2 linked regions of the Drosophila melanogaster genome follow. The protein of the gene in region 2 purifies or fractionates together with the protein of the main gene of each other region. This does not show direct contact. Each region holds a gene or a part of one and is shown on either strand. Other genes may lie near its edges.

What was found.
Region 1: the proteins of inaF-B (region 2) and inaD purify together in Drosophila melanogaster (affinity purification with western blotting; one study listed by BioGRID). This does not show direct contact.

The regions. Positions count from the first base shown.
Region 1 is NT_033778.4:22,856,857-22,860,780, forward strand, and holds the start of inaD (inactivation no afterpotential D), read right to left. Parts: upstream 1,939-3,924; 5' UTR 1,743-1,938; coding exon 1,706-1,742; intron 1,356-1,705; coding exon 745-1,355; intron 691-744; coding exon 600-690; intron 538-599; coding exon 182-537; intron 118-181; coding exon 1-117. UniProt on the Drosophila melanogaster protein: Involved in the negative feedback regulation of the light-activated signaling cascade in photoreceptors through a calcium-mediated process.
Region 2 is NC_004354.4:11,730,716-11,734,639, forward strand, and holds the start of inaF-B (inaF-B), read right to left. Parts: upstream 2,056-3,924; 5' UTR 1,948-2,055; coding exon 1,702-1,947; 3' UTR 1,640-1,701; intron 1,051-1,639; exon of another isoform or gene 932-1,050; coding exon of another isoform or gene 509-931; exon of another isoform or gene 436-508; intron 1-435. Other genes in the region: CG15221 (uncharacterized protein), read left to right, coding at 3,469-3,924; inaF-C, read right to left, coding at 509-931; inaF-A, read right to left, coding at 2,910-3,179.

The sequences.
Region 1 (3,924 bases), on a different chromosome or scaffold from region 2:
GAAAATGCCACTTCCCACCTCAGCGTGCTTGCCATAGATGACCATGATGCCCAGGAAACCCTCCTTGCGCACCTGCACCGTGCGCGCCTTGGGAAACTGGTCGAAGATAAACTTAGTCTGGAATAGAAGGGAAGGACATTTTATCGCAGGATCCATCCGAAAAGAAGTGAAAAGTACGGACCTCATCAGACGCGGTGGGGAACTTCTTGATGGGCTTGACGCACATGCCCTCATCGTTGGGCTTGCGTCGCGAGGTGATCATCACGAGCTTATCCCCATCCACGTTCTTGAACACGGCGGAAGCGTTCAAGTGGCAGCGATTCTTCAGCACATTGCCGTTGACCTCGACGATCTCGTCGCCCGGTTTGATGTCCACGCTACCCAATGCTCCGTTGGGATCCACACCGGCAACAAAGCAGGCCATCTTCTGGCGGTCCTTGTGGCCAGCGAGTGCGAGTCCCAGTGGCTTGCTGGCGTCCCTCTGGACCTCGATCCTGCGCAGATCCTTCATCATGTTGTACCGCTTGTTGATCTTAGCTGGGAATGGCATTCACGTGCTGTGTGACTGACATTTTTTAATGGCTTCAATTGAGTCTTACCCATCGTGTAGCCAAATTCATCTTCCTGCTCCTTGTCGCGATCCTTTTCCTGCTTGTTGAGTTTGCAATTACCGGCGGATGCTCGATCGATCTAAGGTACTTATAAGTTAGTAGAGCGATGGGTGGCGACCTTGGGTTAACCCACCTCATAACCCGCCTCCGTGCGAATGCGACCGGTCATGTCCCGGGTGTCCTCGTCATCCTCGTCGGCGTAGTTACTATGCTTCTGACGCATCGAGGCCGTGAATGTGGTATTCCGCTTCTGCATCGATTGCTGCCGGTTCATGCCAGCCATTCCCTGACCCTGACCCTGACCTTGCCCCATTCCCTGACCTCCGGACGCATTGTTGTTGGTGGTCTGCTCCTGGTTGAACTTGTTCTTGGCCTGCATGTAGCCATTGCTCCGCGGATCTGACTTGGCCTGCTGCTCATCGCTCTTGTCGAAGGTCTGAATCTCCAGTTCGATCTTGAAGTCCGCCTCCTTGATGAGATCGATGACCGCCTGTTCGGTGGAGTTGCGCACATCCTTTCCGTTGAGCGAGAGGATCCGATCGCCAACCTTTAGGCGACCACACAGATGCGCGGGACTGTCGGGCACAATGCCCTTGATGAAGATGCCGGTGGTCTTGGTGTTGGGCGAATCCTTCACCTCGCCGCGCACTATGCAGATGCCGAAGGACTTCTTGCCCGTCTTGTCCAGGGTCACCATGTGAATGAGCTCTGGGAAAGGATTGTGCATTCCAAATGAAATAAAAACTATTTACAACGTATTGTTAAAGTACGACTAAGACAAATGTGAAGCTATTACTAATAAATATTTATTGGGGTCCTTATCCCACTTGGTATCCTTTCGCAAAATAATTTTCACCAATATTGTATAATCGTTTATATAAATGTTAAGGTTAAGTTCATTACATAAACATATTTCTCACAGGATTCTTAAGAATCAATAAAGTCAATTGAATTGGCTTTTGTTCAAATTTTGTTTTATTTGATTCATAAAACACAAAACGAGTATTGAGTGACCTTTGGAAGGTCAAGTTCTTTCGGGACTAGCTGCAAATTTGATTAGCAGTTGGTCATGAAACCACTCAATGGACACTGACCACCCGCGGTGCCCTGTTTGCCCAGGAACTGAACCATCCTCGCTGCTTGAGATCGACTGCTCCGTAATCCTAGCCAAAAACTCGCGACTCACTGACCGGACATTAAGCGCACCGAATTAAGCTCAAATGTAATATCGAATATTTATTGTTATGGGTTTTCACTTAATTATTATTTGTGAATATTCCGCGTTGGCTGCGCCCGATTTGAGTCCATTGAAAAGTGCGCCTAAACTGATTTTACAATTAGCGGGCGAACATTCTTGCTAACTGACTTAGTGGCCATTCTATTTTGAGTATGATTTTCGTATCGATTACACTGGTCAGCAGGGTTGATCTTAGAGTACCAGATGCATGTAGTTCATACATATATGCTAAGACACTTTCACAAACTTTCCTTCTAAAGAATGCTTGAGTAAAAGAAAAATTCTACTAATAATAATGAAAATGTTTCGTATCTTGAGATTACCCATTAAAATATTACCTTGCAGTACAGTGCTATCGATTCGGAGGAGGTGCCTCCAATGAATTGAGTAACTTTCACTGTCTGTTATGACACCACTCACAAAACACCCAGCTCCCCGAAGACGGCCATTATATGGGTTACCATCGCGGATGTGAAGGCTAGGGGAAAATGGATACCCATGTACCTTTATTGGCCCTATCAAGTTATTAATTTGTTGGTACGATTTGGCCCGTGCTGAACTCAACACTCCGCCAGGAGAAGCCCACCAAGTGTTGACCAGCAATGCCCATCGATTTTATATTTTTCTTTCATTGCACTTACAACTGAATAACATATGTCTCACACACTTTTACCTGGGCGAGAGCTTCTATATCGGCACTGCAAATAACAACAATTTGTGGGGGACATTTTTAAAACATATAATATCCTTAATAAAAAAACAATAATAAAATGCGCACAAAATACCGAAGAATAAAGAGTAAATAAATATAAAATGTAAGGTGACAATGATATGATATTGAATATGAACTGTATATATTCAGTATCAATAATATAGCCCCAAAAAGTAGGCAACAATTTCAATGCGAATTGGTAAGGATTGCTGGGGAACTTCTGAACCAGACACAAGCGGTAATCAAATAAAACTTTCAAGATTTTTATCTTTCGAGTGGCAAATAAATTTAATTTGTCTGCCGAGCTTAAATTCATAATCAAGATTTGCATTTTAATGCCTTTGTCGGGGGGAAAGGCGGTATGAAAAAAGGAAACTGGAGGCAGGGAAGGGAGAATATGACTATGCAAACATTTCCCGAACATTGCCCGAACGGAATGAAACGAAAGTGGAATGGCTAAGGCAGCTCCAAAGGAAAACTAGAGTAAACACATGCTCAAAGGAGCTGGGCGCAAAATGGGGTTTAAACTGGAAAATGGCGAACCCAACGGAGAGTGGGAGTGAGAGCGATGGGAGTGGAACGTCAACGACTGCGAAACGATGCTGGAAATTAATTTCATAATAAAAAAGCGTAAGGAAACCCATTTGATAAAACAATTTCCTTTTTGCCTCCCAACAGTCATGTTTTGTTAGTAAAGTAAATTCAAAAGAGAGCACAGCGAAAATATGGCAATGAGCTTAACGCTGCCGCCCCCTTTTCCACCTCTTCCCCCAGCCCCGCCCCGCTCTCTCCTCGTCCCTTGCAGCCTCTGCCGCTGCCGACGTCGCTGTTCGCAAGACCTCGCCCTCCGATTGGCTCTCTGGCCGCAGGCCACGCCCCTGCAATGGCTGCTTTGTGCCGTGTCCTTTTCGGCTGTTCCGCTCTCTGTTTCTCTCTCTCCTTCTCTCTCTCTCTCTCTCTGTCCGCTCCTGCAGAAGTCGTGCTGCTGCGGCGCAGTCGGCGCATGGTTGTTGCGGGGATTTAGTTAACTGAAGTGATTTTCCACTGTTGGCTGTCACACAGGCAAACACACTCACACACATACACCCACTCGTCCTTATGTAAGTGGCCACACGTGTCTGTGTGTGTGTGTGTGTGTGTGTGTGTGCAGGCGAATCCGTTGTTGACTTGTTCTCGTGTTGTACTTACATGCAGTTATATCAAATTGCTAATAATCGTTTAGCAGGCACTTCAGACTGCGTCCTGGAAATGAATAAAAATTACAGTTTTCTGCGCCAAAACACTTGAGGCAACGATTCGGATTTGGAATAATATGGAAATTGCACAGGACCTGGGGAGCTGGGTAATAAGGAAAGCCACAAAAC
Region 2 (3,924 bases):
TTTAAGGATGGTTTATCCATCTGCTTACTTATGTGCAGACAAAGCTGATTAAGCAGCTCGGGCAGCCGGAACGATGGGATAACTTGGGCTATGGGCCTTGGTAAGCGAATAAGGGTAAACTTATTCCCCCAACATGCATGATACAGAGTTGGATACACATAATTAAACTTAAACTTTTGTTGGGCGAAAAGTTTCTGGGCTAAGAAACGATGGGCGAGACGGGCGGTTTATCAACTTAATAAGAACTAATGGCATGGCTCGAGTAAATGTGTGTGCAGGAAAGATATTGGCTTTGAATTAATTAGACTAAGAAGGTTTGCCATTCATAATAAAATGTAAAAGCAAAAAATGCTCTGACAACATTGCGTATGAGTAACAAAAGCGTGATCCTCGAATATTACGCATACGCCACATATGCCAGAACGGGATTCTTACCAAAAATCAAATGAAATTTCACTAAGTTGGGAAATATTTCGGTGAATGAAGTGGATGTGTTAACCAGGCAGCTCTAGCCGAAGGCAGGCCCCTTCTTCTGGCCCTTGTAAACGGGTGGCATGCGTGAATCCCAGAAGAAGATGTGGTAGATGGACAGAAAGAATCCCAGGCTGCAGAGCCCGCACAAATAGATCACGATCACAAAGTATCGGGCAAATCGCTCGGTATACGTGGGCTCTGCGAACACAATCTCCTCCAGCTGCGGTGACTTGGGGACATACGATGTGGCACAGGCACTTCTACGCGGGGCACTGCTGCTGGCCAAGCGGACGCTGCTGCCACTTCCGGTTCCGGTTGATCCCCTGACCGCTTCCTCAAGCACCTCCACATCCTCGCTCTTCACGTTCGATTCGATGAGATTGACAATCTTGGCAAGATTCGCCATGCTGGCGGCATTGCCCAGGCCCGCCCTGGCGGATTCTGACGCAGTGGACATTACTGCGGATATGTACTTTTCTGGTCGCGTCCGTCCAGTTCGCGATGTGGCAGCTACTGATTTGGAATCGCTACCACGATTAAATCAAAATCACACGAATGACGCCATATTCCACCCACCAGGCTGTGTGGATAGTGTAGAGCAAATGGAAATTGGTGGTTCAAACTCTGCGATTCGTTGGCACGTAGCAAAGCGGATTAGTTTTGTGCCTGGCTGTCAACTTTTGATATCGGCCACGGGGGCTAATTAAGCCACTAAACCAAGCCCACAAACAGTGTTGACTGCTTTTTGCCGAATAAAATCTCTTCAGCGGCGGCACAGACATCCACAATAGGATTAAAGTACTTTTGTTTAAATGTTAATGCAAAATATAAAGGTAAATATTCTGTTTTTTCCAGACATTAAGCCTTCTGAAGAAGATTCATTTGAACAGAAATTGTTAAATAAATAAAAAACATGGTATAGTAATTATTAATGTGCGATTATGATTGCTTATGATATGATTATAGTATGATCGTAAGAGCCAAATTTTGTAGCATACTTTTTCGCGCCGTTTCTCAAGATTTAAAATCAGTGAATATTTTCTGTGTGCGGCATATTGAAGTGACAATCTAATTAGGTAGCAACGATTTAATTGACAAATCGCCGAGCTGACAGCACTGTCACAATGCGAATGGCCCCAAATGCCAGTTTCACGTGGCCACTTACCCAATTCCGGTCACTGATGTCGCTGGGAGATGGATGGCTAACTAAATGATAGCCATCCGATCCTAGCCAATCGGATGCGTGTGCTTGAACACGGGCAGCGGCGGCATGCGTGAATCCCAGATGAACAGGTAGTAGACAGCCAGAGTCAAGCCCATGCCGCTAACGCCGCCCATGTAGAGCAACAGGGTGAGCAGGCGGAAGGTCTTAGACTCGAAGAAGTCATTCGATTTGGGCATCGGGATCTCCTCATCCTTGGCCTCCTTGACTACATCGGCCAGATTGGCCATCAGTGCCGACGGTCCGCTCATTATGCCGCTTCTTATTTATTTCGAGAATGTGCTGAATGACCCAAGCGATATGGAAAAAGGTGGCCAATCGCAACCGTAACCGCCTCTTCGAACGAACTGAACACAATTGAGCAATTGCTCCGACTGTCCGTGGATCTGGTCTTTTGGTTGTGTTTCTTTTGCTGTTCGTGCTTCCTCGATTTTCGCATTCCGCTCGACGGTTTTTTGCGGTTTCTTTGGGTTTTTGGATGGCGTGGACACCCAAAGGGATGGGGAGGAGCGGGCGTGGATTCATCGTCTTGGCGGCCACGCTAATAAGATTCGCCAGTTGCACTTTGAGTATCCCAACCGAGCGCAACCCATTCCAATCGGATCCGCATCACGTGCTGCGTTCTTCGACGCCGTCGACGACCACTTGACCCGGTTAGGCGTCACTCCTCCAATCCTGATTCCGAGACCACTTCGCTTTATTCTTTATTCTTTCCCCTTCTATACGTTTCCCTCCTATTCTTTCCGTTCCGTTCAAATGCAGATTCTATATTCATGTTTGGCCAGCGAAATGAAAGTGACGATGGTGATGGGCAGTGTGTCTATAAGATATAATCGAATTGAAAATCTTCTAGAATATTTTAGTTCATTCATAGTGATTTTTGACTTTCGAATAGATTTGAAAACTATTCGAGTTATTTGATTCATGAATCATATAGACATGTTATTCGTCCCTTAAATGGTTCCATTTCCAAATTGTTTTTAAATTGTTTTGTTTGAAATATTTGTAATATTTCCTTCTTTTGTAGCTTGAAAATAATTGCATATTCAAGGGTATCTTTCAGTCGAGATTTCAACTTGGCCATATTTGGCCCACCTTTGCTAGCATTCCCAAATCCAATTAGCAGCAGTCTGCCCTCCATCTCCAACCCGCCCTGCCTGCAATTGTGAAGGTACTGGTACTTACCACCCGGCTGGGTCAAGTGGTCAAATGGTCACTGGTACTCGTGCACCTTCTGCACTGGATGGCCGCCAATGGAGACGGGAAACTTGAGATGAATGTCCGGCATGCTGGAGTCGAAGAACATGAGATAGTAGAGGGCCAGCACCATTCCCAGGCCACTGATCCCGCCCAGATACAGAAAGATCGAAATTATCCGGAAGGTCTTCGATTCGAAGAAGGCTGGTGGTTGCTGCTCCTTGGGCAGGCGCACGTCATCATTTTCCTCCGGCTTTTCACCCAAATCCAAAGTGGACGAGGCCATGATTAAACGCCAACTGAGCTCGCGATTCCCTGCCAAGCGAAATGCTTGGTTAAAACTTTAATTATTCCATAAACTCAAGGGTTTCACTTTGAATGACACTGATTGACTGATTCCATTTGATTGGTAAACTGAGAAAAAACAAAATCAGTTAAAGTTAAGTAAACTTTAAGATACATAAATACCTCATGCATGCAGGACATATTTGTTATTTGAAATTTTTAGATAGACCCATACAAAAAAGCAATATTCTCAATAATTATGGCACAACAAACATTTTCTCTCTGTATAGCAAACATGGAGGGGGGCCGCGAGGAGAACCTGTCGGAGAAGCCCCGCCCCCACACTTTCGAGGAGGCCATCACGCTGACGGGAGTGGGCCGCTTCCACTACAAGTTGCTGCTCATCTGTGGACTGTGCTTTATGGGCGTGATGGTGGAAATTATGGGCGTTAGCCTAATCATGAACCAGATGAAATGCGATCTTCAACCGACGCTAAACCAGCAGGGCATCCTGGCGTCGGCCGGATTCCTGGGCGTCGTACTGAGCTCACATGCCATGGGCTTTCTGGCCGACACTTGGGGTCGGGCAACCACATTGCGATACGCCCTGTGCATCAGTTCCGTGTGCTCCATCGTTTCCGCTTTCTCGGTGAACATCTGGATGCTGATCGTGTTCCGCTTCCTGACGGGCTTCTTCATTTCCGGCGGACAGGCGTGTGTGTTCAGTTTGTGCGGTGAGTTCCATG